Rattus norvegicus: one gene and its partners. Each later gene encodes a partner of the first gene's protein in a complex. Links are inferred from orthologs where the notes say so. Each region holds a gene or a part of one and is shown in the gene's direction. Other genes may lie near its edges.

Region 1 (5,000 bases):
TATTTAAGAGAGAACGAGTAAGACACACATAAAGACGAAATGAACCATAGAATGAGAAGGAGCCAGAGGATTAGAAAAGATTGCTGGAGTTAGTTTGAGGCCAAGCAGAGGAATTTAGAGGCCGAGAGAAAAGACAGATCTTATAAGTCAGCTGGGAAAGGTGTTTGAGCCAAAACAGCTGAGTTGAACCAGCCAGCCAGAGATCTGAAAGAATTGGGAAGGGGTGAGTTTATTCAGCAGTAATTCAGAGAGAGAGAGGCTGAAAACAGTCTAGACCTAGATAAGATCGTACAGAGGCTAGAAACTTCCAGAACTAGACCTAGGATAGCAGACAAAGGCAACAACTGCAACAGGAGAATAAAAGTTACATTTGTATCTCACTACGGATTTGCTCGTCACCTGTGGCTGGCTTTTACAACAGTCGTCTTTCAGAAGAGGTCTTTACTAAAGCACACTAAAGCCATAGGAGCACTAGGTGAGGATCCAGACCAGCACCTAAGGGTCAACTCCACTGTAGAATACAAGGCCCCCTAGGAACAGTATTCACTATCTTCTGCTCAGATAGTGGTTTAGAGTTGGATGGCAAACTCAAGGTTCACTTCTCAATCTCTAGACTTGACCAACAATAAATAAAATGATGAAATTGGATAGTTTGGGTAAAAACTCATACAACTGAGCATGGCGGTTTACGCCTGTAATCCCAGCTCTTGGGAGATAGAGGAAGAGGAGTTCAAGGGCATCCTGGGTTACACAGCCAGTTTGAGACCAACCTGGATGACATGAGACACTATCTTTAAAAAATTTTACACGGGGCTGGGGATTTAGCTCAGTGGTAGAGCGCTTGCCTAGCAAGCACAAGGCCCTGGGTTCGGTCCCCAGCTCCGAAAAAAAAGAAAAAAGAAAAAAAAAACTTAAAAAAAAAAAAATTTTACACCTGGGCTGGGTTCAGAGGTGGAGAGCACTGGCTGCATTTCCAGAGGACTTGGTTTCGATTCCCAGCACCCACATGGCGGATCACAAACATCTGTAATTCCAGTTCCAGGTGCTCCAACAACCTCTTTTGGCCTCTGTGGGCATCAGACACTGGAGTGTACGGAGACAAACGCAGGAAAAACGCTTATACACATAAAACAACAAACCAATCAGATGCGAAAAGCACCATTCGCACCACCACCAAAACCACAACCTACTCAAACTCATGTAATCGGAGCGTTTGGGAGGTGGAGGCATGAATCTCTGGAGTTCAGCAGGGTTATTCTCAACTGTACAGTTTGTGTCCAGCCATACACGGGACCTTTTCTCAAATACAAACGCCAAACCAAACCAATTCCCTTACAAGTCATATTCCCTTACAACGTCTTTCCGCGGGTGCTTTCTTGCCAATAGTAAACATGGCAGCTTGGTACCCTCTTTTCTTCGAGTTAACTTAATAGTTGCCAATAGTCAACATGGCCGCCACACTATACATTCCATTGGTCGCTTCTCTGAAGGTGGGCGGGAATTGAGGCGACTGTGTGGAGCTGCGCCTGCGCAAGTCATTGGCGCCAAGATGGCGTTGGAGATGAGGCTCCCTAGGGCTCGCAAACCTCTCAGTGAGAGCTTGGGCCGCGATTCTAAAAAACATTTGGTAGTGCCAGGGGACACGATCACCACGGATACAGGCTTCATGCGGTACGTGAGGATTTGGGGGTCCCAAGGCCTCAGGAGACGGCTGCAGAGCTCTCTGCACGTGGCCCGCTGCCCGGGAACCCAGGCCTCCTGTCCCCTTGTATCTAAGTCACCGAATACCTGGGACACCTCAGAGCATCCTCCTTTCCGAGCCTCATGCTTCTGACTTCCTGCATCTTGGGTGCTCCTCTGTCAGTTCCTGATTTCTCCTTTAATCTATGGTGTCAGGAACTTTTGAACCCTTATCCTGAAACTCAAGATTTTTGAGCTTTCCTGGGGAGGGCTGGGAGCAGGACCCTTCTTACAACCCTCTGAAGAGACAGTGGGTTGCTGGCTTGGTCGTTTCTTTCAGTGTTACCTCAGCGACGAGCCTGACTTTGAAGCAGTGATTTTCGTGGGGTGGGGGTTGAGGTAAGCATTCAGTACATACTGTGCATAGATGCACCCAATAATACAAACTTAGCAGGCTATCGGAACTTGTGGTACTTTGGGCCTGCTCTGGAGTCGTGCTCTCCTTAGCTGTAGCACCTAGCTAAGGCCGGTACCCTCACCTGGAAGACGGTGGTGACAACAGGAATTGGTAGAATCGGGAGTATTAAGCAACTGAAAAGTGGGGGCAGGAAGCAAAATTTCAGCAGTGGCCTGAAAAAACCTGGTTGTTTTTTCTTTCTGGTACAAATGAGATTATGGTGTTTATAGCATTGCCTCTAGACTTTATGTTTAAAGTATTAGATGACAGGTATCTTAGGATTCATTTCTTCATACTTGCAGCATAAGTTCAACATAGTCCCTGTGGTTGGGGTACCAAAGGCGGGGTTTATCATCTAGCAAGGAACAATAACAGTAAATGCCACAAGAACGTCGTAAATGCAGACGAAGGGGGAGAAGAGGGGTGTAGTTGGCAATGGGGTGGACCAGTGGGGATCCCTGTGTTGCCTGGGATGTGCAGTTCTGTTGTTGGAAAGTGACATTCGAGCACACTTTTTTTTTTTTTTTTCTTTGTTCTTTTTTTTCGGAGCTGGGGACCGAACCCAGGGCCTTGCGCTTCCTAGGTAAGCGCTCTACCACTGAGCTAAATCCCCAGCCCCTCGAGCACACTTTTTAAGATGGGGATGTCCACATGGCTCTGTGGAGGCAGGGGGAGCCTGTTAGGTTCAAGAACCATGTTCTAGATGCTCCCATGTTACCTCCAGTGTAACACTGCTATCCTTTCTTTGTGGTCTTGTCCTTGCACAGGGGCCATGGAACATACATGGGGGAGGAAAAGCTCATTGCGTCAGTGGCCGGCTCTGTGGAGAGAGTGAACAAGCTGATCTGTGTCAAAGCCTTGAAAACCAGGTGAGGACAGAGGTGTGTATGTCATTCTCGGAGCATCTGGGTTGTACACAGGCCTTCTCCGTCGTCTCCCCATGTCATCTAGGATCATTCCTGTCACACGCCTGCTAGGTTGAATGTGCCTGTTTGTCACAGTTAGTGCCGGCAGCCAACTTGACACAAAGCTGGAGTTACCTTGGGAGCGGAAACCTAAAGCTAAGAATTGTCTCCATCAGATTAGCTTGTGGGCATGTCTGTGGGAGCATTTTCTTCATTGGTAATTGATATAGGCAGTGTCACCCCTGGACCAGTGGGCCTGGGGTGTGGAAGGATGGGCACTGTGCTGCAGGCCTTTTATCCTAGTACTTGTGAGGCAGAGGCAGGCAGCTCTCTGTGAGTTCCAGGGCAGCTCTGTGTGTGTGTGTGGGGGGGGGGGGAGAACAAAAACCTGAGTCTGGGAAGCAAACCAGCCAGTAGTGTTCCTCCACAGACTCTGCCTCAGTTCTGGCCTCCAGGTTCCTGCCTGGCACTCCTCCGTGATGGAGTGTAATCTGTAGGCCTAATAAACCCTTTCCTTCTCGAGTTGCTTTTGGTTGTGGTATTTATCACAGCAACAGAAAGCAAACTAGGACACTACAGAAGGTGTGAGCTTCAAAGGTTTCCTCACGTCACTTGATCCCTCCATGCGTTGGGCTTTCCTTTTCCACATCATAAAGAAAGTAACCAACTCAGGATTGTTCATTCGGAATTCAGTGACCTGCTACAGTAAAGTACTTACACACAGGGCCCAGGACCTAGAAGAAGCCCATAAAGGTGCGTCCAGAAGGGAAGCAATGAGCCTGGGACTGATTAGTCAGGCAAGCCGGAGCTGTGGCAGCCAAGTGGTCACCCTGCCTGGCAATGACAGTGAGGACTTGGGCTTCGTACTGTACCAATTGGGAAGCCCTTGGAAGGGATCAAGCAGAAGAGAGCAAGAGAGCTGTGATCTGACCTACGTCTTCATCACTTGCTGTGGTTGCCATGGAGACAGTGAAGGGGGACAGGGCATGTTTAGGGAGCTGGGCTGGGGAACTGTATTCATCTGAGAAATGACCGAGTGATGGCAGGCATGGCCCTCAGCAGTGGCTATGTCCTCTGTATGCCTTGCTTTCAGAGTGTCCTTTGAAAGGCTGTTGCAGTAACTGATGTGTTTAAGGAAAGCTAACAGAAGGAATAGAGATATTTTTAGTTCCCCGTTTCCAGTCTGGATGTCTTTGTTTCCCTCACACATTTGGAGGTGCCTTCAGCAGGGTCTGTGCTGTGCTTATCCCAGAGTGTGACAGGCATCAAGGTTTCTGCCTAAGCATGGGTGGGGTGAACACTTACTGAGCTGGGGATTATGGGAGAGAGCAGTTTGCTGTGGGGAAGGGAAAGCAGCTGCTGGCAGAGTTCACCCCGAATTTGATTTTTTTTTTTTTTTTTTTTTTTGGTTCTTTTTTTCGGAGCTGGGGACCGAACCCAGGGCCTTGCGCTTCCTAGGTAAGCGCTCTACCACTGAGCTAAATCCCCAGCCCCCGAATTTGATATTTTTACAAGTGTTCATGAGCCTTTTGTGTGGCTAATCTGTATCGGATAGCTTGGTGACTCCACCTCCCAAGCGCTGGGATTATGGGTAATTCCCCACCATGCCTACCTCTCACCATTAAAACTCGTTGAGCTCGCTGTAATTGAGGGAGCTATGAGCAGAAAAGAGACATAGTCTGATGCCTGGACCTTAACAAAGAGCATTTCACCCAGGGTGAGGGTCCAGCCAAGTGCCTGAGCAGGCAAGCAGTGTGGAGATGTAACAGCTTGCAATGAGCAATTGCCTTAGGGATAGCTAATGGAATATACGTGGAGAGATTCTGAAGTTCCAGGTCTGAACAGTAATTACACACATTTACCAAAAATGATGAAGTCCCTCTGTTTGTTCAGCGTCAGACACTGCTTGTTCTGGTCAGCCAGCTGGCTACTGAGTAAGCTTCTGTTTTCTCTTGCAG
Region 2 (4,160 bases), on another chromosome or scaffold:
CATGACACAAATGGGTGTTGGGGGCTCCTGCCATTCCCCACCTCAGTCCCATCTTCTATGCTGACTACCATTTTCCCTTTCTGTCTTCTAGAATGCAGCCAACCGGGGGCTAAAAGCCAGCGAGTGGGTCCAGCAGGTTTCAGGCCTGATGGATGGTAAAGGTGGTGGGAAGGACATGTCTGCCCAGGCCACAGGCAAGAACGTGGGCTGCCTTCAGGAAGCACTGCAGCTGGCTACTTCCTTTGCCCAGCTCCGTCTCGGAGATGTAAAGAACTGATGGGAGGGAAGCCCTCTCAGGAAAGCATCTCCCCGACAACCAGTCATGTTCAGGTGCAGGAGTCTAGCCAGGAGCTCTCCTCCTGCCACGAAGACATTTGAGTCTTGGGACCTTTCAGCAGCCCTCCGTCCTGATCCAGCAGTAACTGGAACGCGCCTGGAGCTGTCCTGTGATTCATTGCCCCTTTCCATTCTGCTCTGAGCCATAATGTCAGCGCCATCTGTCTAAAGTCACTACCCAGGAATGCTACCTAACATCCTGATCACGTCTAGATGAGGTCACTCTGCCAACCTGAGGCTTCTAGGTCTGCAAGTGGGAAGGAAGCCTTCCACTGCAGAAAATAAAGGACCATGTGCAATACTAGATGATACCACGCTCTCCTTTCTCCTGAGGTTGACCTCAGCTCCCTATACATGCAGAATACAGGCTGTGTGTGGTTCTGGCTGGTTTCTGATTGATGTTATCACAGAGTACAGCCTCAGACTCCTGAACTTGAGGAACGGCCCCTGGGAGAGCAGAGCTAGAGGCAGAATGGGTGGGCTGAAATTGAGGCATTCAGTAAAAGGGGTGGAGGAAAATTCTTCTGAATTGCTTCACATGAAGAAGCACCATTCTTAGTCTCTTGGGACAACCTCATAATGGCTTTCATCATGTGTGTTCAACGTGCCTCCCCTTGAAGCTGCTGATATGAGGTCAGACAACTAATGTAGGAGGTATGAATGTAGAGATGTCTTCTAGTAACTGCCCCATCCCTGCTTCTTTAACCTGAAATAGGTTCAAGACCCTGGCTCGGCCCTAAAATGCAATTTATATGAATCTACAAACAGCAGGGTCTGGAAGCTGAGATACTGCTTGCTTATGACAGATCTCAGAGTGTTAGAATTATTATTCAGTTGTAGGAAGAGAGATAACGTCCATTTATTAAACAAGTGTTGAAGCAAGCCAGGGGACTAACTACAGGAATGAACAAAAAGTTCTTTTTTTTTTTTAATTAATTTATTTATTTCATGTACATGAGTATCCTGTACTCAGACACACAGAAGAGGGCATCAGATCTCATTACAGATGGTTGTGAGCCACCATGTGGTTGCTGAATTGAACTCAGGACCTCTGGAAGAGCAGTCAGTGCTCTTAACCGCTGAGCCATCTCTTCAGCCCGAACAAAAAGTTCTTACCTAGGGCAAGCTTATATAAAACAATCTGAATGCAAAATTCAAGGAATGACAGTAGATCAGGTCCTATGGAACCACAGGTCCAGCCAATACCTCGCCGTTCTTCCTCCATTCCGCTAGGTGGCAATGCGGAAACCTACCGCTCTCCCGATAGGCTCCGCGCGGGCGCGTATCTTTAAGCGAGCGGAAGAGCCGGTGCGCAAGGCATCCTGGCAGGCGGAAGTAGCTCGTACGCCGGTAGCCGCCATGCCGGGAGACCACCGCCGCATCCGAGGGCCAGAGGAGTCCCAGCCGCCGCAGCTGTACGCGGCCGAAGAAGACGAGACGCCCGCTGCTCGCGACCCGACGCGCCTACGACCGGTGTACGCCCGCGCAGGGCTGCTGAGCCAGGCTAAGGGCTCAGCCTACCTGGAAGCGGGAGGTACCAAGGTGCTGTGCGCCGTGTCCGGTCCGCGGCAGGCCGAGGGCGGTGAGCGCGGCGGCGGTCCCGCCGGAGCGGGCGGTGAAGCTCCGGCTGCTCTCCGGGGTCGCTTGCTCTGCGATTTCCGTCGCGCGCCCTTCTCCGGTCGCCGGCGTCGCGCGCCCCAGGGCAGCAGCGAGGATCGTGAGCTGGGTCTGGCTCTGCAGGAGGCTCTGGAGCCCGCTGTGCGCTTAGGACGCTACCCTCGTGCTCAACTCGAGGTGTCCGCGCTGCTGCTGGAGGACGGCGGCTCTGCGCTGGCCGCGGCCCTCACCGCTGCTGCGCTCGCCCTGGCCGACGCGGGAGTGGAGATGTACGATCTGGTAGTGGGCTGCGGCTTGAGCCTCACACCGGGGCCCTCCCCGACTTGGCTGCTGGACCCCACGCGACTGGAGGAGGAGCATTCTGAGGCCGGCCTCACGGTGGCGCTCATGCCCGTGCTCAATCAGGTGGCCGGGTTATTGGGCAGTGGGGAAGGCGGCCAGACTGAGAGTTGGACCGATGCGGTGCGCCTGGGCCTGGAAGGCTGCCAGCGCCTCTACCCGGTGTTGCAGCAGTGCTTGGTGAGGGCTGCCCGCCGGAGGGGTGCCGCCGCCCCGCCCTGATTGGAAAACTTGAGCGACGAGGATGCGGAGGACTGCTATCGCCCTTTTCTCCCAAAAGGACCAGCGCTGATGGTTGCCCGATTTCGCTGAGCTGAGACAGGAGAGTGGGGGAGTGGTGCGCACAGAACCAAAGCTCTGCACAGCTGCGTTGGAAAGAAGTTTAAAAGGCCGTTGGAAACACGATCCAGTTGGAGAAATTTGAAAGCAGCCATATTCCTAAGTTGGAAAGGACTTGGGCTGGATTTACTTAGTAAATGAGACCTGGGGCTATGGCCTTGTAAGGGATGGACCCTGTGCAGGCCAGCCGGCAGCTCCAATATAATTCTTTTTTTTTTTTTTTTTTTTTTTTCTGAGTTGGGGACCGAACCCAGGGCCTTGCGCTTGCTAGGCAAGCACTCTACCACTGAGCTAAATCCCCAACCCCAATTCTTTTCTTTTGAGAGGATGGACAAGGGGACTTTGCCTTCTCACTACTCGAAGTAAAACATAAAAACATTTTTATGCCTGGAAATAACATGTGTTGTGATTTTTCTTGAGTTAAAAACAATGCTGTTCAGAAATGGGTGTGTGTTGATTGTGTGTTGTCAAGGGTCCAAGTCATTACTGCCTTAAGTATTCCTGTTAGCCCGCTGTAAGAAAGAAAGGGTTATGTGCTTTGGAGGAGAAACCAGCTGCCCCGGGAGCATTGTCTAGGGCAGCTGCCGAGGGGATAAGACTGAGCAGATTTCAGGACAGCCAGAGCTACACAGAGAAACTCCCGTCTGGAAAAGTCTGGGGAGAGTTCAAAGGAGAAGCCTGGATGCACCCCTGTCCTTTCCTTTAGGACAAAACCATGTCTAGGAGTTAGGTAACTGAAAAGGATTATGCTCTGGAAAGAAGCCGGGTCCCATCCTGGTGCCTGTCCAGGCTTGGCTCCTGGGAACAAGGGTCTGGGCAGCAATGGTCTACTAAAATGCAGACCGCCTAATACTGTGGTATCATTTACAGCCTGGCTATTAAGGCAGAGCAGGCCTGACTGACCAGTATAGGGACTTATCCTGTTCTTCACAGGCTGAAGTGGAGGAAGCTGTGAGACTTATTAAGTATTCCAGGGGTCTGCTCAGTTTATGAGGACAAAGTAAGAACTCCTGACCAAGAAGAAGAAATACATATTTTATTTTTTCCCCCTTCTGACATGACTGTAGAACAAATCCAAAATTAGTGTTATACTTACTAGTGAGACTCAAGATAGAGACATAAATGCTCCTTTATTCTGAAGGATAGCTTATGGCTTCATAGAGCACATGGTGGGTTTAACCAAAAGAGGTTGCTTAGGTGGGCGCACACCATCAGGTTTAGTGTTGTGTGGGGAAGAGACAGTTTTCATTCCATGAGAGCTAATAGTGCCTTTTGGGCTCAGGGCCCTGTCGTGTGCCTCCTGCAAGACCACCACAGTTGAATGAAAATAGGCACTGCTGGTCTGTGTGGCTTCCCTACCCTGCCCACAGCAAGACTCATGGAAAAAGAGAGTTAAACCCACGACTACCGGGAGGGGGAGGTTTTCTGGGTGGGCTGGCTGTACCGTGCTTCAGACTTTCAATACCCAAGCTCCAGAAAGGTGACTTCAAGTCGCATGGGAGTGACTAGGGGGCCTTCCAAAAATACAA
Region 3 (5,250 bases), on another chromosome or scaffold:
CAGCCCCAAAATTCGATCTTTTCTGGAGGGCTGGAGGTTCTAAAGGCTTTGAAGAGTCTTCCTCCCCTAATTTAGGGTTGGTCAATTTGAATAAAGCTTGGATGGTGGATGAAGCCAGAAGTGTTGTGTGACATGTCCAGTGCGGGCCTTGAACATTTTGAACCAGTACAGCAGCAGCAGCTTCCAGCCGAGAGATCCACAGAATGTAAGAAGGAAACTGGGTTCTCTATGATTTAGCTGGGCTTGTTCAAACTTCTGGAGTCTGATTTGAGCAGTTTATTTTTATTTGTTTTTTTTTTTCACATTTAAACAGTAAAACTTTCAAAAAAATGTTTCTTTGTAACAACTGTCACCACAAAGCTTAAGACATGGCTACATCAAAACTCCCTTGCAAAGTACAAGGTTTTTGAAAAGCACCTGTGACCTCTTCCACAAGAGTGGGTCCTACCAACTGAGAAAACGCTCAAGATAAGAGCCTAGGGAGGAAAGGTTTTTAATCATCATAAGAGCAAACTCTTTTACAACAGTACATGATATCTCTCCTATAAGGATGGATTGATTCTGTGGACTGAGAATGCTCAGGAAAAGGGGGATTCAGATGAGAGTTGGCTCGCAGAACAGTAAAATTACCTGTTATTCAACAACCTCCACCCTAGCCTTCCAAGTGAACAGGTGTCACTTTCTTCTATTGAAGAAAAAGATCTGTGTGGTTAACAATTCTGGTTTCCCTAGTACTATCTGTAAGCATGAACCCTCCTACCCTCTCCAAACCCCACGCAGCCTTTCTTTGAAGCTGCCAAGCTTGTATCAAGTTAGGAGGTTGGGGAAGAAGTTAGCCATCTTGAAAACTCAATACTTATTACCTAGCCATGGCCCCTCTCCTGTCTGCCTGTATGTCAGTTGTCCTTACTATATCCAGGGATTAAATGGTTTGCCAGCAACTTGCCAGATTTGGAGGAAGTTTGATGCCCCTTCCCTAAAAATTTAGAAACTTAGTTGACAGCAGAGCAATCTGACGTCAGTCAATGTCAAGGCCCTCAGTGCTGCTGGAGAACAATCAAACACTCATTGAAGATGCCTACAGAAAAAAGCTGGTTTCACAGATAAGAACCCCAAAGCCAGAAAACTGGAAGTTCTTAAATTCTTGCATTGTGGGTTTGGGATTTAACAGTTTCTCACATAGCCGTTAGTGTGCTCCCAAAGAACTAACTAGCTGCAAGAATTGATCTGAGTTACCGATATTCCCAAGCCATGTAGGGATGAACTTATACTGGTGAAAAAGTGTGATGTGTGTTGGAGAAGGTGGGAGAAATACACCTAAAAATTGTTACAAGTAGTAGGTACCTTGAGCTACAAATGATCTGAAGTATAGCTAACAGCACAGCAAGGGCGACAGATAGGCACTGTAACTATTGTTCTTTGTATTTTACACAATGTAAATTGGTAGCAACAACCAAACAAGTTATATTTTGAAAAAAAATTTTTTTTTCTGGTTAAAAGCTGAGCTATCGGGCTGGAGAGATGGCTCAGCAGTTAAGAGCACTGACTCCTCTGGTCCTGAGTTCAATTCCCAGCAACCACATGGTGGCTCATAACCATCTGTAACAGGATCAGGCGATGCCCTCTTCTAATGTGTGTGTACTCACATAAAATAAATCTTAACAAACAAACAAACAAACAAACAAACAAACAAACATACAAACAGCTGAGCCACCTTTCTGTAGGCAGAGTAGAAAGGTAAGGCCTCCAAACTAGCCACTATTCAGTTCCCAGTGGCACTCAATTCCAGCGTCCCTTGATTGTTAAGTCGAAAGATGAGACTCGGAAGTGAGGGCTCACAGATGGACTCTACCCGGGGAGATTACAAGATGGGTGGGTCGCTAACTACACACACAGTCACTCGGAGGAGGAGTACCCATGAGCTGAAGCGACTAGCTCCAAAGCTAAAGTCTAATTCAGAAAAATCTCACAACCACCGAAAAGGGATAACCCAGGTGGACGGGTAGTGGATGCGGAAGCGGAAGCGGAAGCGGAAGTAGACTACCGGAAGTTGCAATGGTGATGCCTGCCATGGCTGAAGTGTCCGCTGGGGCTGAGTCTGTGGCGGGCTGCCGAGCACGGGCAGTGCACAAGGTGCTAAATCAGGTGGTTCTCCCTGGGGAGGAGCTGGTGCTGCCGGACCACGAGGACGCAGACGGCCTTGGGGGCCCCGGGGAGCAGCCGTTACGCCTGAATGCGGGAGCGCGCCCGAGGCTGCGCATAGTATGCGGCCCGGGTTTGCGACGCTGCGGGGACCGTCTGCTGGTCACTAAGTGTGGCCGCCTGCGTCACAAGGAGCCCAGCGGCGGCGGCGGCGGCGGCGGCGGCGGCGGCGGCGGCGGCGGCGTTTATTGGGTGGACTCGCAGCAGAAGCGGGTAAGCGGATGTCTGAGAGGCGGTGCTGCCCCCAAAGTGGGATCCCTGCAAGTGCGATCATAGGTTAAGGCGAGTCTAGAGCGGCGGTGGCTTCTAGATCTCTCTCTCTCTCTCTCTCTCTCTGCATCTTCTTTAGAGGAACCACAATAGGAACATATCCTGAGAAGGGCGAAAGGAGAGAAAGGTTCCGCGAGTTCTTGTGAAAAACCCAAAGCCATTTGGTGTCCCAGTTGCAATGAGTCCAAATCACAGGGAGTTAAATTTCCCATAGAATAAGAGCTTTCTCTTAGGAATAATGACTAATGGAATGAGTTTCCTTGAATGTAAAGATTCTTGTGCCACCAGACTTATAAAGGATGCCGAAAAATCTTGAAACTTGATTCAAATCAACTGTTGATTTAGACGGTGTAAAGTTTTACTGGTGCGGGCCGGTTTTGTAGTTCCAGCTACCCGGGGAGTAAGTAGTTGGCAGGGTTGGTTGAGACCAACCCTTGGTAACCTCGATGAAAGTTGCCGAAGATATTTTATAGTAGTATTTGTATCATTTATGATTGTTCTTTTATTCTGTTTTGTAGTATGTACCAGTGAAAGGAGACCACGTGATTGGCATAGTAGTCGCTAAGTCTGGCGATATATTCAAAGTTGATGTTGGAGGGAGTGAGCCAGCTTCTTTGTCCTACCTGGCATTTGAAGGGGCAACTAAAAGAAACAGACCAAATGTACAGGTAATGATGGTTTCAACAATAAGAAAAAATGTCCACTCCCTAGAAATTTAACTATCCAGAGGGCTACCTGAATTGTCTTTAAAGCATCAACTATCCCTCCAGTTCTCCAAGGTCGTTTATTAGATTCTCGGTTGCTGCAGCTCCAGAACCATTGCTGTGTATCACGTTAGCAGTCTTGGTTCTTCTCTACCTGGTTGGCAAGTTACATCTGTGTCTTCCTTACCTGTCATGTCCGAATCCACCCAGGACAATGGCCCTAATGTAAGGGCCACCGGCACTATTGTTATCTGTTCATGGTCGCTGTAAATCCTTGGAGCTGACAGAAGAGTTGTCTTGTTTCGACAGGTTGGGCTTTCTGGGTAGTTTAGCCATATCCTTCTGAATACCTGAGCTACAAATGAGATGAGCTCTCTCCTGCTTTTTGTCAGCTCTCGAGGGTCTTTAGTCGCTCAGTCTTATCTGTTCTTCTCTTTATCTTTGCCTGTCAATCCCTTTGTCTCCACAGGGTCAGGTGTCTGCTCCCTTTTGACAGGAGTGGGCAGCAGTCTTGTTGACTTATTAAAAAAATCTTATTAAGAAAAGGATTGTTTAAGTTATAAGGAATCCACTGGCATGGTGCACCTGGGGTCTCCCCTCACAGCTTGTTGCTCCACGTAACTATATTAAGCTTCACAGTGTCACTGGGTTCCCTTCCTTCCCTTGGTCTTTGTTAATGGGGTCCCTCTGTTTGGAGCTGTATCCTCAGCCTATGAGACACCACCCTTGAGGTCCAGGCTGAGTGGGACTGCCTATAAGGTCATCATCTCTTTTCCTGTATATTTACCACAGCCCTGGGTTTATTCTTGATCTGGTTCCTCAGTTTATTCATTCTCACTGCCCTGTGCAAGAGCACATGCTCCAGGAAGGCAGAAAGGGGTTATGTCCCGCCAGGTTTTGTAATCACCCACAACAGTGGGGACTTAAAAAATACTTTTAGAGTATGCATAGGGAAGTGTTTTGTCCACATGTATGTTTCTGCCCAGTGTGTGACAGCTTCTTGTGGAGGTCAGACAGGAAGGTCAGGTCCCCGAAACCTGAGTTATAAACAGTTTCGAGCTGCTATGAGGATGCTAGAAACCAAAGCTGGGTCCTCGGCAAGAGCAGTAAGCACTCCTAACCCATGAGCCATCGCTCCAGCTCAACAGGGAGGATTTTTAATGTTGAATGACGAGAACAGATTTATTGTTTCCTTAGCTTCATTTTAAAGTTCAGTTTTGTAATATTTTAAAGCCAATTTTCCATGAAGTAGTGTCTGAATTACTGCTATCCCATTTTCACATTCCATTGAATATGGGTGTCATGAGTTTTTCCTTCCTCTAGACAAACATAATTGTTAGTACTGATAGAACATTCTCCAGTGATGCTGTTTTTGTTTTTATATCTGCTCTGACTGATGCAGTTACCACTAGTTACATGTGGCTGCTGATGAGCTGAAGAACTGAATTTTATGTAAGTTAAGTAGATATAAAGTTAAATATGAAATTAAGGTAAGCTACATGCAAGTTGAACAGTTCAGTTTTGAAGGCTGTCCTTAGGCCTTGAAATGGCTTCTGGTTGGAGGATTTCATGGGGTGTGAAGGGAGGACTGAATTCTAAGGATCATTAGTCCCTTAGCTTGAGAACTGGGTCACTGGCATTCCTGCCCATGGAAGAGAACCAGCAGCAGCAGCAGCAGCATCTGTAGGATGTCTGGGTAAAGGGAACTGAACTTTTCTTTTAATCTTACAGGTTGGAGATCTCATCTATGGCCAGTGTGTGGTTGCTAATAAAGACATGGAACCAGAAATGGTCTGTATTGACAGCTGCGGACGCGCCAATGGGATGGGTGTGATTGGACAGGATGGGCTGCTCTTCAAAGTGACCTTGGGCTTAATTAGAAAGTAAGTTATGATGCGTATTAAATGCCCCACCTTCTTTAAGGATCCGTTTACTCTTTGAGAATTCCATAATGGTATTTTGTTGGTCATACTTCCTCCCCCATTCTTCCCTGTAACTCCTCCCAGAGTCCTTCCCCACCTCTCTCCCCTCTCCTGTCCTCTAAGTTTGTGTACCCTTTTTAAAAACAAATAAG
Region 4 (5,261 bases), on another chromosome or scaffold:
TCTGCGGAGGCGTGGTTTTGCCAGCTGCAGATAGTTTCTGTGATTGTGTGACTTTGGAATTCTGGGAACTTTTCAGAGAGTATAAAAATGCGAAAGCTCCAATCGACGGGGGTGGCTGCTGCTTGTTGGTAGTTGTACTCAAAGAAGAAACTGAAAGGAAGAAACTAGATTCAAAGATCTCCCACACCCTCCTCCTTCCTGTCCCTTCCTCTCCTATCTAGTGACAGGAGGTAAAACCGGGAGGGATAAACGACTGGGAAAAGAACCCACAAAGTAGCTAAGACCCGCTACACTGAGGCTGCATAGTAAGATCTTATTTTAAAACACACCACAAGGGTTGGGGATTTAGCTCAGTGGTAGAGCGCTTGCCTAGGAAGCGCAAGGCCCTGGGTTCAGTCCCCAGCTCCGAAAAAAAGAACAAAAAAAACAAAAAAACAAAAAAAAAAAAACACCACAAACAAACCACCACAAAATTATTTATTCTGGGTGAGAAAATAAGACAACATACTCAGAATCAAGACTCACAAGCCCTCCACAATGAATAGCATTCCTTAATTATCTGCTCCTACAATACACAGGGTTGTTAAAGAGGACTCAGTGGGACTATAATCTGCTCTATCTACCCCACAGGTATGAAGCAAACAATAAAAATATACCTCCAAGCTAGGTGTCACGGTCCCACCTATAATCATTATAAGAGCACTAGGGAGGCTCTGGTAGGAAGATTGCTAGTTTGAGGCCAACCTGAAATACATATCAAGATTTTCAAAAAGCAACAGCAACCAGGTGATATCGCACATGCCTCAGATCCCAGCACTCTGGGCAGAGATAGGCAGATCTGTGATCTCAAGGCCAGCATGGTTTACAGAAGGAGTTCCAGGACAACAAAGGCTACAAAAAGAAACCCTGTCTCCAAAAACAAGCAAACCAAACAACAGCAAAAAAGGGCCCATCACCAACAAACACAACAAAATCTCAGGACTATGTATTTCATATTCTGAGTGAAAACACTCCCAAATGTATACTAAGTGACCGAATCTTTAAAAATAATCAGAACTCCAAAACCTACTATACAGGTGCATATAGACAACCGCAGGCGCTTTGTGCTTGCATCCAGGCTATAGAGAAAACTTACTGGCCAAGGTAAGGGAGGGAAACTTATGGATTTAACCAAGCAAATGAAAAAGAAAAAAGAAAAACTAAACTAATACTGAGCCACAAAGATAATAATCACGTGTATGTGGAACAAAAAATTGTGCTTGGCTAAACTGACCACTGTAAAAACCACACGGACGAAAGACGAAAAAAAGAGAAGGACCAGATTCCAGCACTCACAGTGGCTGCCCCCTTCTAACCTCCGCAGCACTGAGCACACACGTGACGAAAAGACATACAAGCAGGTATGCTTGTTCAATACATTCGTACAATAAAAATAGATATACAGTTTTTTAAAGGGCCAAAAAAAAATAGTCTCCGCTGGGACCAGCGCCTCCGACAAACCGAGGACGTCCGGAAAGAGAAGTTTGTCTTCAAGGCGTACCTACTTCAACAACCGAGGAGAAGCTGCAAAAACCAGCTCGGCTCGGGCCTTTGATTTCCCGGAACCGAACGACGTGACTCGTACATTCAGCAGGCCGGGGAAGCTACGAGCCTTGCACCGGAAAGGGACTAGTTTACCGGAAGTTATAGCTCTCCGAGACTGAAAAGGAAACGGACCGGCGGAAGTCGTAGTCGCGGAAGCCCAGGTCATCTAAGGGGTCGTGCTCTCGGAGGCGGAGCGAGGACTGCGCAACATGGCCGGGCTGGAGCTCCTGTCCGATCAGGGTTACCGGATAGACGGTCGCCGCGCGGGGGAGCTGCGCAAGATTCAGGCGCGGATGGGCGTGTTTGCGCAGGCCGATGGCTCGGCTTATATCGAGCAGGGCAACACCAAGGCACTGGCGGTGGTCTACGGGCCTCACGAGGCGAGTAAGCGGCAGGGATTGGGGGCTCGTGGCCGCACGACGAGGAAGTAGACCTTACAGCTTAACTCCTCTACCTATGCAGCAGTATACTAAAATCCCATCTTTGAATTTCTGGGGTCCTCCCTGGCAGAAAGCATCTCAACACACGTTGTCCCACCGTGTTGTAGGGGAAATGATGTGCGTGCATCTGCGAGGACCTGGCTTCTTCTGATTTCACCTCACGAGCTCTTTCCCTTGGTTAACTTCCATTTCAATCCTTCCTTTGTGTTACATCCACTAAGCCATGAATATAATTATACCCCGAGTTCTGAGTCCTCTCGGGGAATTGCATCCCTAACATGGCCCTCAAATTTGTATAAGTATTAGGTCCCATGATGAACTGAGAATATTGGTTTCTTTAAGAACCCAGTTATGTTATGTGATTATGTTTTTGTTTTAATCCCACGGGTGGGATATGGGGCTGCTTCAGATTGTCCACAACTACTATGATTGTCTCATGCAGGGACTGGGGGCTCATGGCTGCACATCGTGGGAGTGGACATGAGTCTTACTGCTTAACTCCTCCGTCTCAGTGGGCCTCTTTTCTCCTGGGCTGCCCTCTTCATCTCTGAGGTGCCTCATACATCCTGGCAAAGCTACACTCAGTCCCTGTTCTTTCAGTCCAGTGTTTTGACATCTTGTCCGGAAAAGGCCTCCCAGGCTATTTCTGCCCCTGCTACATCGATTTTCCTCAGTCTTCCATGTCTCTTGTCTCTCTACTGGAATGTAAACTCCCAAGACAGAGACATTATAAATTGCCTGCCTTTGCTGCTTTGTCTCAGTGGTGTAGCAAGGCCGGCAAACATGCACATTTTAAGGGTTTTTTTGTTTGTTTGTTATTTGTTTATTATATATAAGTACACTGTCACTGTCTTTTAGACACACCAGAATGGCATCAGATCCCATTACAGATGGTTGTGAGCCACCATGTGGTCGCTGGGATTTGAACTCAGGACCTCTGGAAGAGCAGTCAGTGCTCTTAACCAATGAGCCCACATTTTAAGGTTTGCTAGCAATTTGCTCAGCTTTCTAGGTGGAAGCCAGGTCAGGTCTAGAACACATTAGGCCAGACTACTGGTAGACCGAGGGACAGTAGATCAAATAAAGTTGAGTGGTTAACCAAGGAGATGAGGACCCAGGGCTTTGAAGGTCGGGGAAATTGAGATTTTCTTTTACATGTAATGAGAAGCTTCTGGAAGGTAAGTAAAATATTAGTGTGTGGGTGACACAGTCAAATCACATGTTTGTAAACATGGTGACCACGATGGGAATGATTTAGGAAGAAATGGAGCAACTAAAGAACAAAGGGGTTTTTTTTGCGGAAGGTGACAGTGGTGCGGCTTAGACCGAAGTGTAGCCCTAAACCGCCTGCCATGGTTTGGAACCAAAGTAGCTGCTGCTTTCTGAAGCACTTTAGAAAGAAGAGGAGGAAGGCTGAGCCATCGAGTGTGACCCAGGAGGTAGGCGGCCCTGGCTCATTCCTTCTTTTTTCCTCCAGATCCGGGGCTCCCGGTCACGGGCTCTGCCTGACCGGGCTCTAGTGAACTGTCAGTACAGTTCAGCAACCTTCAGCACAGGTGAGCGCAAGCGAAGGCCTCATGGAGACCGGAAGTCTTGTGAGATGGGGCTGCAGCTACGCCAGACCTTCGAGGCAGCTATCCTCACACAGCTGCACCCACGTTCTCAGATAGACATTTATGTGCAGGTGAGCCTCAAACCACTCCCCCGGGGGCGGGGCTTAAGGGGATGAGGTCTGCCTGAGATGCTGGAGGATGAGATGTCTGATGTCCTGATGCCCCCTGCAGGTGCTACAAGCAGACGGTGGGACCTATGCAGCATGTGTGAATGCAGCCACGCTAGCAGTGATGGATGCTGGGATACCCATGCGGGACTTTGTGTGTGCATGTTCGGCTGGTTTTGTGGATGGCACAGCACTAGCGGACCTCAGTCACGTGGAGGAAGCAGCTGGCGGGCCCCAGCTAGCCCTGGCCCTGCTGCCAGCCTCTGGCCAGATTGCACTGCTTGAGATGGATTCGAGGTTGCATGAAGACCACTTGGAGCAGGTGCTCGAGGCTGCTGCCCAGGCAGCCCGGGATGTGCACACTCTGCTGGATCGTGTTGTCCGGCAGCATGTGCAGGAGGCCTCTATCTTACTGGGGGACTGAGGCCAACCCCCCATATCCAGAATAAAGGCCTGTTCCTCTCCTGAACACACTGTAATGTACAGCACTTCAAAGCAGCTCAGGGCCCTACATAGCAGTTTGTACTGCAGTCCCTAAGTGGAGAGAACACTTGTGCTAGGAAGAGCAAGAGTGCTCATGCTGTGCCTGCCCAGATATCAGGGTCCACAAAGACCACCAGGGGTCTGGATTTGTATGCAAAAGCAAAGCCTTTATTCACACTTAAGCTTGGACCCTCAGAATCCTCCAAGCATCAGATTTGTGCTGAGACCTTGAACCTCATTTAGGCAAGGTTTTTATACTAGTTTGAGCAGGGAACGGGGGTCTCCAGCATAGCGATTGCCTTACTTAGCAAGGGTTGAGCAGGGAGGGGGTCTCCAGCCTGTCAGTTGCCTTATTTGGCAAGGGGTATCTTGGTGCACAAGGATTGGTCAATGATGAGCAATTTATCTGTAACCTTTGGAATTTTAGACACTTTCCCTCTATTTCTCTGATTGGCTCTAGCCCAGGGCAGTTTCTTCCTGGATTGTTTATGATATTTCTATTAATCGCAGTTCAAACAAGGGACAAGCAGGCTCAAAATGGAGTCCGCTTTCTCCCATCACTTGTGTTCCTCACTCATGCCCTCAGACTAAGGAATGTGCCTTGCTTACACAACTCTTCAGAGACATGAGTGCAAGGCTGAGGTGGCTATGTGTGCTCATCAAGAGATGTAAGGTTAGACTAATGCAATGGTTCTCAACTTGTGGGTCACAACCCCTTTGAGGTCTCCTATCCGATATCCTGCAAATCCGATATTTACACTATGACATAACAGCAAAATTAGTTATGGAGTATCAGCAAAATAATTTTATGGTTGGGGTTCACCACAACATGAGAAACTCTATTAAAAGTAGAATGTTAAGAACCACTGGATTAATGTTTTTCCTTGGGCCTTTCTTGCCTCTTTGGGCTCTAGAAGGATATCAAACCTTTGTTGCCTCTTGGCCATTTATTCTTTTTTTTTTTTTTTTTTTTTTTTTGGTTCTTTTTTTCGGAGCTGGGGACCGAACCCAGGGCCTTGCGCTTCCTAGGTAAG
Region 5 (4,934 bases), on another chromosome or scaffold:
GAGAGGGGGTGCCGATATTCAGAGTGTGGAGTGAAAAAATAAATTAATGGAAAAAAAAAGACAGTCTCACGATGAAGCTCTGGCTGGCCTGGAGCTCAGAAATCTGCCTGCCTCTGCCTGGAATCAGAAGCACACATCACCACACCAGGCCTTAGACTTTTTTAAAAAATCTTTTTGAGGGGACTGGGGAGATGGCTCAGTGATGACTAAGAGCACTGGTTATTCTTCTAGAGGAACTGGGTTTAATTTCCAGCACCCATATGGCAGCCCAAAACTGTCTGTATTTAACTCAAGTTCTATGGGATCCAACACCTTCATTCAGACCAAACAACAATGCACATGAAATAAAAAATAAGGAAAGCATTTTTAAAAATCTTTTCGGGTTTTTTTTTTTTTTTGAGAGAGGGTCTCATGCAGCTCAAACTGGCCTCAAATTCCTTGCCTTCCACCTCCCAAGCGCTGAAATTACAGACACATGTCGCCATATCCAGATAAACAAAAAGCGCGGGGCTAGGAGCCAAATTCTGGACGTGGCAAGTGTGAGGCAAGCATTCTGCACTGTGGTACATCGCCAGATCGCAACAGCATTTGGAAGTGTTATCCTGCCCTTATCAACAATAGATCAAAAGAGATTCCGAGTTTTCTCGAGTGTTTTCAAGAAAAGTGGGCAGCCAAGCACCGTAGCGCACATCTGTAATATCAGGACTTGGGAGACTGGGACAGGACTATCTCCAGTTCGGATACCTATCTAAGCATCTGGGTGAGCTAAAGGCCATCCCAGATGAGTGGGTGAGATCCTGTCTCAAAAAAAAAAATAACGTGGGCAAAGGGTCCTGTTTGAACTTCTCGCTCTGTCTCCCTTCATGATCATCTTCTGTAAATGACAGTCATGGAAAAGTCCCTCGCCTTGAATTTTGGTCAGGGGACATAGGAAACAAACGAGTTTCTTGCTCGACTCCCTTTACAATTGGAATTTAAGTAATGTAGAACCCTATGAAAACCTGATCTGTCCTTTCAACCCCCGTCTCATCCCTTACTCGTCTCCTTCCATCGAAGCCCGCAAGTAGCTGCCTTGCTTTTGCTCTAAAGGGAGCCTTCCCTTGAATTTCTCTTCAAAAAGTTTCCCGGTCCTTTTCTTTCTGAATCTGCTCTTCCTTCACAGCCCGCGGTGCCCCACGCACACTGTAACAATAACAGTTACGTCTCTATTTCTCCCCAAGAAAGACACTGTGGGGGCCAGGTACTCACGAATCTAGCCAAGCCCCGAGCCCCAGGTCGCCCCAACAGCAAGAGGGCAGCCTGGCGCAGGCCACGGCTCGGCCTCCAGATCTTGGCCGCGGACATCGCTACCGCCATCTTGGCTAGTAACCACTCCTCCTTTCTCAGGAGATAGACATGCGTCTGTCCCATCAGATGCCTTATTCAAATCTCAGCACCACTAGGCCAACGCACTATTTTCTTCCAACCGCCTAGCAACAAAGACGTAGAAATAAGTAAGTTGACCATTTTTATTCTTTAAAATTGCTCCAGTCGTCTGCTTGGAGTTGTTCCAATATCAGGCAATAAAAAGGACAACCTCACTTGAACCTCCAGGGTTCAGGGCCCGGGGCCTTGGGCAAAATGGGCCTAGTCCAAGTCCTGCCCCTTATTCCCTATTCTCCAATGGCTTTGCCAGAATTGGGAGGTGGAGGTGGGCAGGACCAGATTGTTAGTAAACGCCGAGCCACGTGCTAGGGCCACTTCGGGAGTGCCCTAGATTGGCGCTTGCGCGGTAGGTACACGGCCGGTAGAACTGCGCGTGCGGCTGAGCGGAAGCTACGGTAGGAGCCCCAGCGCGCGTGGTCAGCGGCTATGGAGGGAGCAAAGCGTGCAGACGCCAAGGTACTCACTGACACCGGAACAGAGTCCAGCCCTCGAAGTCCAGTCTGCAGCCTCCGGCACTTTGCTTGTGAGCAAAACCTGCTGTCCCGGCCGGATGGATCTGCTTCTTTTCTGCAAGGTACGACTTTAACAAGGTTTAACTCAGCGCGCGCCATCCTCACCGAAGAAGGGTTTTTGAAGAGCGGTTACTGTGTAGTGTGCAACCAAGTACGCCCACCTCCTTGGAGAATTTATTTCTAGATATTGCGTATACCCACCTCCCGACTCGAGAAGAAATGATTTGGCCAGGCTGGTCAATACCTCTTGGAAGAAATCCAGGGCAAGACCCCTCTCCTAAGAGTGAATATTCCAGAATAGGTGTTTCACCAAGGCAAATATTATCCTTGACTAGATTTCTTAAAAAACACTTCTGGATCCATACATCATCGGTTGAGGCTAAGGTGTTTATTTGCATAAATACCCTTTGAGACAGACACATCACCACTACTGGTTTAAATATAATTACTGTGGCAGGTGATATACCTAAGTAAATGCTCTGAAAATTGAACGTGATCCTCCCATCCTGGGCTAACAAGTAGCTCCCCTTCTCTGGTCCCATCATTTGAGAAAACATGCCTTTCCTTGGTATACACGTCTCATCAGGGTAAATGAATAGAAAGAAAAGAGAGATCTCGAGGCTGAGGCCCACATAACCCTGTATCCCAGTCCAGCCAACCAACTTTGAGAGGTCATGGGAGGGTAAAAAACTACCAGAGTAGACAAATGAAGAGGACAAAGATGGAGTTGACAATGGGGAGTTGTGTTTGAGATATTAAGAGCTGATCACTTTATGGCTAGTAAGTTAGTGTGGGGTAGTGGTGGGTCAGAGAGAGCAAGAAAGGACAGTTAAGACAACTGTTCAGGCATTTTCCTGGGAAGGGATCTGGTAGATGGGACAAGAGTTGAAGACTGACAGGAGCTTAAGAAAAGAAATAACACCTTTAGTCACAACACTTGGGAAACAGAGGCAGGGTCTCTATGAGTTCGAGGCCAGCCTGGTTTGTGGAGAGGAGTTCCAGGAAACCCTGTCTTGGGGAGAAAAAAAAAGGGAGACAACCGGGAACTGGAGAGATGGTTTGGTGGTTAAGAACACTTGTGGCTCTTGAAGAGGACAAAGTTCAGTTCCCAACATCTATTCAGGAGGCTGTCAAGCACTTGTAACTCAGGAGCTAGGGGATTAGAAGCCTCTGCATGCAGGGACACACACACACACACACACACACACACACACACACACACACACACAGAGAAAGAGAGGGGGGGCTTGCACAAGCATGCATGCACATAATTAAAAATAAAATAAATCCTAGGGACTGAAAAGGGGAGAATTTCTGTAGCCCCGTTGTAGAGATGGTGGGAAAGAAGAGACTATTTTGCTTGCCGAGAGCACAGTTTATACAGCAGAACAGGAACAGCTACTGTGTAGCTCTAGTAAGCACCTGAGTCTAGTTGGGTCACTTCTGGTTTCAGGGCAGATGTTGGCGCTAAGACCCTGTCCCATTGGGTTTCCTTGGAAAAGCACCCGCAGATGTAATAGTGTTCTCATCCCAGGCTGGCTCCTGGTTTTGCTCACTTGCTAAACTCAGCGTCTCCTGTCTCTCGAGATATAAGAAATAGAATGGGAACCCTTCCATGTTCTAAAACTCTAAACCACGGGGCCCTGGTGCAAATTGGAGACCTTGCAGACTTTCAAAAAGAATGTTGCAGATGGGGCTGGAGAGATGGCTCAGTGGTTAAGAGCACTGACTGCTCTTCCAGAGGTCCTGAGTTCAATTCCCAGCAACCACATGGTGGCTCACAACCATCTGTAATGGGATTTGATGTCCTCTTCTGGTGTGTCTGAAGACAGCGACAGTGTACTTATATATAATAAATAAATAAATCTTTTTAAAAAAATGTTGCAGACACATCTGACCTCAAAGGCTCCTGCAAGAACACCCTATGGGAGGGGGCGTGGCATCAGTGAGCAGTGCAAATGATGGGTATATGTGATAAATGACACACTAACCCTATTACTTCATAGCTGACCTCATTAGGCTCCTCTTGCTCTAATAAGGACCATGACCAGAAGCAACCTGTGGAGGAAAAGGTTTGTTTGGCCTACATACCCCAAGTCCATTGAAGCAGGAACTGAACCATGGAGGAGCCCTTGCCTTTCATGGCTTGCTCAGCCTGTTTTCATTTATAACCCAGGACCACCTGCCCAACAGCAGCGCCGCCCACAGCGAGTGGGACCCTTCCATATCAGTTGTTAATCAGTGAAATGCCTTGGGTCCGGGAGTGTGTGAATTCCCCTGCAGACTTGCCTACAGACCCTTCTGATGGAGGCAGTCCCTCAGTTGCCTCAGTTGAGTTTCCTCTTTCCAGGTATGGCTAACTCGTGCTGAGTTTACCAAATGCAAAGCAAAGGAAGTAACTAGCCAGCACAGTGTCTTACCTTACAAGCAAAATTGATAAAAAGAAAAAAACCCAACAAAAACAAAACCGATGGTACTGAACCCCTAATCCTAGCAGCAGGGAGATAAATAAAGGCAGGAGGAGCAGCTCGTGCCAGGGTCACTCAGCTGCACAGCATGGGCGAGGCCAGCCTTGACCACACAGAACCTGACTGCAGAAAGTCCAATGGAGGGCTGGAGAGATGGCCCAGTGGTTAAGAGCACTGACTGCTCCTCCAGAGGTCCTCAGTTCAAATCCCAGCAACCAACCACCTGTAATGGGATCCGATGCCCTCTTCTGGTGTGTCTGGAGACAGCCACAGTGTACTCATATAAATAAAATAAATAAATCTTTTAAGGGGCGGGGGAAGGAAGGAAGAAAAAAAAGTCCAGTGGAAACCTACAGAGCCCCGGAAGCTGCCCGTGTAGGTTTGTCATCCTATTTTCTGCTTTGGATTTAGCATGAATGCCCCACCACAGAGTGACATCCCTGAGCCCTCAACTTTTAAATGATTGATTTCCTATGGATGTCCCCAGTGCCCGAGCAGGACAGAAGAGTGTGAACTTCCCAAAAATGTA
Region 6 (5,035 bases), on another chromosome or scaffold:
ACATCACATGAACTTCACTTCCAACCCTGTGTGGACAGTTTTTATTTACATACTCGGTTGCCCTAATTCAAGGAAGCATCATTGCAGATTAAAATCCTGCCTGCACTCTATTTAAAGTACTGGACAATATTTTTGGTCTTGGATTATCTTTTCCATAAAGTGGGAAGCAACATTTAAATCTTTAATAGTTGGATGTGAGCAGAGGACTTTCCTACTACAGACTGAGGTATCTGAGGGAAGAAACTCAAGAAACTATGAAGCCTGTGGTTGTTTTTAAGCACTGTGCAAAACATTAAGTGTAATATTTTCCTCTGAGCTTGGCAATCTGAGAAGACTAATTCTAACACTGCCATGTTTAACACCTGAAGAGTCTACCCGTGGCTAATCCCCTGTACTGTGAAGCAGTTCCTTTACCAGTTGCCCCAGCTGTGGGTAAAGTTGAGTTCACAGCTGCAGTGTCTCTTTCAGTCCCTAATGTGGACCTACCACCGCTGTGTTCATCGAGGTTTCGGACTGGACCTCCTGGAGAAGAGGCTCAAGTAACCAGCCAGTTCATTGCAGATGTCATTGAGAAGTAAGACTGTTAGGATAAAAGTTTAACCACCGTTCGTTATCATGTGTGTTTTGCCTTCACATTTATTGTGTTCTTTATCATTAAATCAAGCTCACAGATAATTAAGAAAGAGGACTTATGCATTTCTCCAGGGAAGGTAAGAACAGATTCTCAAGTGGCTGTGTGGTCTAATGTGGTTGTGGGAATTAATCAACCTTAAACCCTGAGATTTTAGAGTTTAGAAGGAATTCTGTAGAAGTTCATTTTACTCTGTATTGGTCTAAATTAACAATTGTGTCATAAATCTTTTCCAGCTGGGTTTTATTTAGTTTAATGAGATAGTCACACTGTGTACCCAGCTGGTCTTTTACCTCCTCCTTCCCAGCCTCCCAAATGCTGGGATTACAGGTGTGTGCCATCCTGTCCAGTTATCAGATAGCATGTCTGGGGAGCTAAGTTTTCTTTCTCTCCCTCTCCCGCCCCCACCCCTCTGTTGCTAGTTAAAAAAAAAAAAAAATGCTTTTATCCTTTACAGCAGATCAGGTTTTGCTTACGCTGATATTTATGGATAGCACATAGTATGTTCCTACATTGGTTTCCCTTGCAGATTTATAGGGCTATTACTATAAAATCTTTGTTACACAGTAGGGAGCAGATATTATAGTTAACATAGCAGCAAGAATAAAACTTCCTCTTTGCACCTCTGGCTCTATTCAGGGGTGTAGTCAGGTCTGTCTCTTGTAGATTTGCTAGTCACAGCCCAGCTTTCCTAACCTGACCTGACCACTTTGACTTCCTACTTAAAGGTTTAAGGAAAAAAAGAGATCTTAGACTTTCAAGACTAGTTTTCTCTAACCAATGGTTCTGTAATTCTTCAATTAATTGAGGAAAAAGCACTATGGTGTTATCAGGTCTAATTTCTTCTGTGTCAATTATTTTAGCTTGCTTGGGTTCTATACTGTGACCTTATTTGCCTAGACTACGATGGGAACATTTTGGATGCCTGCACATTTGCTTTGTTAGCAGCTTTAAAGAATGGTAAGCAACCTTAATAAAGACTATTTTCCTACAAATAGAGTCCAGCTGGTCCTTACCTACTCTTCCCCTCCCAAATGCTGGGGTTACAGGTGTGTGCCATCCTGTCTGGGAGCTGGAGTGAACTCGGAAGTGGCTGTGTGGTCCAACATGGTAGAATTTAAAGGTTTTTATGGACGTCTTGTATCATTCACGATATTTGAATTGTGAGACAGAGTATGCCATAGCCCAGGGCGCCCTTGAACTTTTGATCCTTCTGTCTCAACAATATTACCAGCATTTGGGAGGCTAAGCATGAACTGCCTTGCCCAGGTTATTTTCCCAAGTTAGTCAGCTCTACAGGGTTTTCTAAAAATGTACTTCTGGGTTTTATATTCTTTTAGATCTATAGCCTCCTAGATTGACTCTCTGCCCCAGTAGTCACTGGGGCAGGAGTCCTTCCCAGAATCCACTAACTCGATAGTACTTTGACTGTAATCCAGGTGGTTCATGCAGACTGGCCACAGATATCGCCTCTGATAGTGGTGCTTCCTGGTAAGGCCCAGGCCACTTGATATGACTTAGCATTTCACTTGTGAGCATTCTGCTCATTCTACATTGTTGACTTGATGATAAAACTAAGCCAGGCATGGCTGTGCATGCTCGTAATCACTACATGGGACGAGAGGAAGATGGCAGCTTTGAGGCCAGTTAGACTACAGAACAGGGTCCAGCTAATTCAGAGTGGAAGATAGTTACTAGTGATATGTGTATCCATCCAGTCTGCTTGCTTCCTCTGTAACAGTGCCAAAGAGCAGCTCTTACTGCTTCAAGAGTGTGGGTGAGCAAATGAGTGTTATGAAATAGGAGACACTTCAAGACTACACACCTTCAATCCCAGCACTCAGGAAGCAGAGGCAGGTTCTTTGAGGCAGTTTGGTTTATAGCATGAGTTCCAGAGTTCCAGGACAGCCCAGGAGCCCAGGAGGACACAGAGAAGACCCGTCTCAGGGAAAATAAAACAAGGCAAAAGTCGGCTTGGCTGGATCATAAGATACTCTGTAAAGCGGTTTTCCTCTTCATATTCACCTCAATTGTTATGACATACGTAACAAAACTCCTGAATCTAGGGGAGTAGCACACAACTCTTATCCCAGAGTGAATCTGGAAGCCAGATGGACTACACAGTGAGATCCTGTCAAAGCAGTCAGTAGTTGTTATGGCTAAGCTACACTGAGGGAAAGTTAAGAAAGCATAGAAACGAAGCTGTACATCAGACCCACTTTACATGTGTTCTTACCTTTCTCCAGTACAGTTGCCTGAAGTTACTATAAATGAAGAAACTGCTTTAGCGGAAGTCAATTTAAAGAAGAAAAGTTATTTGAATGTTAGAGCAAACCCAGTTGCTACTTCATTTGCTGTGTTTGATGAGTAAGTTAATCCAATGTAACGTTCTGGGTTCTAAGTTAAGGCCTTGGTATTTAGCTGTCTTCACGAGAACAAGCTGTCCCCAGGCCCTAAATTGCGATTTGAGCCGTGCCCTGCAGTTCCTTTGGTCAGACCTTCCACGCATAGACATCCTGATGTATAGGAAAACTTGTGCTCGCTCACCTTACTTGCCCCTAGGTTTCCTTATGCCTTTTTCCAGGTGGTGAGGGGGAATCTTTAGGGCTCCAGCATTTGCTGAGGAACTTAAGCTATTTTATTCCCAAATTGAAGAGAAAGGTATTTACAAGTATAGGACTGCTGGGCGCTGCTTCTGCTCTGGCTTCCTCCAGTCCTAAATTAGCTCTTCCAGACCCAGGCCAGAGCAGGCATGCCTTTTGGTACTGTTTGAAATTAGTCAGTTGCTAGAACTGATGCCTACTCCCCGCACCACACTTTTTTAATGTAGCACTTTGCTGATAGTCGATCCTACCGGGGAGGAGGAGCACCTGTCCACAGGAACCTTAACCGTAGTAATGGACGAGGAAGGCAAGCTGTGCTGTCTTCACAAGCCAGGTATGTGCTTTCCACTGCGTTTAAAACACTGTCCGGTACTGAGTGCAGTGCGGGGTGTTTGACTGTTTAGCTAAATAAAGTTTATGGACTTCTCTGCTGTTTTAAGTGTTGTGTATCGTTCTTAAAATTAGGACGTCTGTCCTCTGTAGGTCTTCCTAATAAAACTAACCCACATTCTTGAGTCCACAGCAATTTAGATGGTTTGATTTAAAAACAAAAATACCCCATTTGCCATGATTTTCAATTTTCATAAAACACCGAACATTGGCTGACTTTTCAGGTGGGAGTGGGCTGACTGGAGCTAAACTTCAGGACTGCATGAGTCGAGCAGTAACGAGACACAAAGAAGTGAGCAAACTACTGGATGAAGTAATTCAGAGCATGAAACACAAATGAACAGACGCCACGATTGTAAAACAGCTGTAAAAATTGTATTTGTTACACTGTGCACAGGCCTTTTATACTAAATAAATACCTAATTACATTCTTTGAAAGATATGTCTAGTACTTCTTACGTTATTTCTGTAATTGGTATGTACAGGAAAACATTGAACCATGTTTCCATGTAAGAATCACAGGGTTTTGCTTCTATATAAAGTGTGCACATATATCAATGTAAAATACTGACATCTTGGGGGAAATGAAGTAGAAATACAATTCTTTTCATTCAGTGGTCTTGTTTTATAAAAAAGAGAAAACAATTGCTCAGAATTTTGGAGTGGTTGGCATGCCTCTCTTCACTTTACTCTTTGACTGGCTGCCTGCCTGCCGGTGACGATGGAGCTGGGCTGTTTGTGCGGCGGCTGCTGCCATAGCCATTTGATGCTGCAAGAATCGCAACTGCTGCAAAGGGAGGGAAAGATCACGTTACGCTAGGTGCATGGGTGGAGTTGTTTCCCCAGGAGAAATGAGAACAGCCAGAGAAGGAGAAGGCAGGGTAACCAAGGGGACTGCCTGCCCAAACCAGGGCAGAGCAGGAGCCTGCTAAGGGCTTAGAGATTACATTATCCGTTACGTAGCCCTGGCAGTCCACACTGCAGTAATGCAGCAACTTCAATTACCATTTTGTTACAGTAATTCATAGCAAAATAAAGCCAACACTCAGTTGATCACAGTATGCAGACATCCTTTCCTAAAATAGTAGGAATATTTTTCTAAACATGTATGACATTTACTAACAGTAATACTTCCACAGTACAGAATTATAAAGTTAATTGGCACTTAAAACTCTCAAAATACAATGCACATTAAAAGGATGTGTGTGGAATGTGCCACCAAGACCTTAAGAAAGGATTTAAAATATAATTGTTATAAAATACACTTAGTGCTCCAAGTTGACTGGCATTTAACATGTCAGACGTCTAAATAAAATTGACTAGGTTACTGACCAATTGCTTCAGCCTTAACAGACAGGCAGTATAGAAACAGTATAGAGACAGCCCTATAGAAAGGCAGTGTACAGTACTT

Evidence for each region.
Region 2: Exosc2 (region 1) and Exosc6 share a complex: the UniProt entries of both Homo sapiens proteins name them as parts of the RNA exosome core complex. The link is inferred for Rattus norvegicus from reciprocal best matches to the Homo sapiens genes EXOSC2 and EXOSC6.
Region 3: Exosc2 (region 1) and Exosc3 share a complex: the UniProt entries of both Homo sapiens proteins name them as parts of the RNA exosome core complex. The link is inferred for Rattus norvegicus from reciprocal best matches to the Homo sapiens genes EXOSC2 and EXOSC3.
Region 4: Exosc2 (region 1) and Exosc4 share a complex: the UniProt entries of both Homo sapiens proteins name them as parts of the RNA exosome core complex. The link is inferred for Rattus norvegicus from reciprocal best matches to the Homo sapiens genes EXOSC2 and EXOSC4.
Region 5: Exosc2 (region 1) and Exosc5 share a complex: the UniProt entries of both Homo sapiens proteins name them as parts of the RNA exosome core complex. The link is inferred for Rattus norvegicus from reciprocal best matches to the Homo sapiens genes EXOSC2 and EXOSC5.
Region 6: Exosc2 (region 1) and Exosc8 share a complex: the UniProt entries of both Homo sapiens proteins name them as parts of the RNA exosome core complex. The link is inferred for Rattus norvegicus from reciprocal best matches to the Homo sapiens genes EXOSC2 and EXOSC8.

What each region holds. Positions count from the first base shown.
Region 1 is NC_086021.1:35,359,137-35,364,136, forward strand, and holds the start of Exosc2 (exosome complex component RRP4), read left to right. Parts: upstream 1-1,529; 5' UTR 1,530-1,549; coding exon 1,550-1,671; intron 1,672-2,904; coding exon 2,905-3,006; exon of another isoform or gene 3,007-3,018; intron 3,019-5,000. UniProt on the Homo sapiens protein: Non-catalytic component of the RNA exosome complex which has 3'->5' exoribonuclease activity and participates in a multitude of cellular RNA processing and degradation events.
Region 2 is NC_086037.1:55,929,860-55,934,019, forward strand, and holds Exosc6 (exosome complex component MTR3), read left to right. Parts: upstream 1-1,663; 5' UTR 1,664-1,695; coding exon 1,696-2,514; 3' UTR 2,515-3,078; downstream 3,079-4,160. Other genes in the region: Aars1 (alanine--tRNA ligase, cytoplasmic), read left to right, coding at 92-277. UniProt on the Homo sapiens protein: Non-catalytic component of the RNA exosome complex which has 3'->5' exoribonuclease activity and participates in a multitude of cellular RNA processing and degradation events.
Region 3 is NC_086023.1:64,371,509-64,376,758, reverse strand, and holds the start of Exosc3 (exosome complex component RRP40), read left to right. Parts: upstream 1-2,047; 5' UTR 2,048-2,070; coding exon 2,071-2,415; intron 2,416-2,990; coding exon 2,991-3,140; intron 3,141-4,907; coding exon 4,908-5,059; intron 5,060-5,250. UniProt on the Homo sapiens protein: Non-catalytic component of the RNA exosome complex which has 3'->5' exoribonuclease activity and participates in a multitude of cellular RNA processing and degradation events.
Region 4 is NC_086025.1:109,926,736-109,931,996, forward strand, and holds Exosc4 (exosome complex component RRP41), read left to right. Parts: upstream 1-1,755; 5' UTR 1,756-1,793; coding exon 1,794-1,964; intron 1,965-3,501; coding exon 3,502-3,708; intron 3,709-3,808; coding exon 3,809-4,168; 3' UTR 4,169-4,498; downstream 4,499-5,261. UniProt on the Homo sapiens protein: Non-catalytic component of the RNA exosome complex which has 3'->5' exoribonuclease activity and participates in a multitude of cellular RNA processing and degradation events.
Region 5 is NC_086019.1:90,294,141-90,299,074, forward strand, and holds the start of Exosc5 (exosome complex component RRP46), read left to right. Parts: upstream 1-1,768; 5' UTR 1,769-1,851; coding exon 1,852-1,999; intron 2,000-4,934. Other genes in the region: Bckdha (2-oxoisovalerate dehydrogenase subunit alpha, mitochondrial), read right to left, coding at 1,249-1,356. UniProt on the Homo sapiens protein: Non-catalytic component of the RNA exosome complex which has 3'->5' exoribonuclease activity and participates in a multitude of cellular RNA processing and degradation events.
Region 6 is NC_086020.1:141,079,599-141,084,633, reverse strand, and holds the end of Exosc8 (exosome complex component RRP43), read left to right. Parts: intron 1-468; coding exon 469-574; intron 575-664; coding exon 665-710; intron 711-1,494; coding exon 1,495-1,591; intron 1,592-1,680; coding exon of another isoform or gene 1,681-1,712; exon of another isoform or gene 1,713-2,877; coding exon 2,878-2,998; intron 2,999-3,461; coding exon 3,462-3,568; intron 3,569-3,848; coding exon 3,849-3,964; 3' UTR 3,965-4,066; downstream 4,067-5,035. Other genes in the region: Supt20h (transcription factor SPT20 homolog), read right to left, coding at 4,274-4,411. UniProt on the Homo sapiens protein: Non-catalytic component of the RNA exosome complex which has 3'->5' exoribonuclease activity and participates in a multitude of cellular RNA processing and degradation events.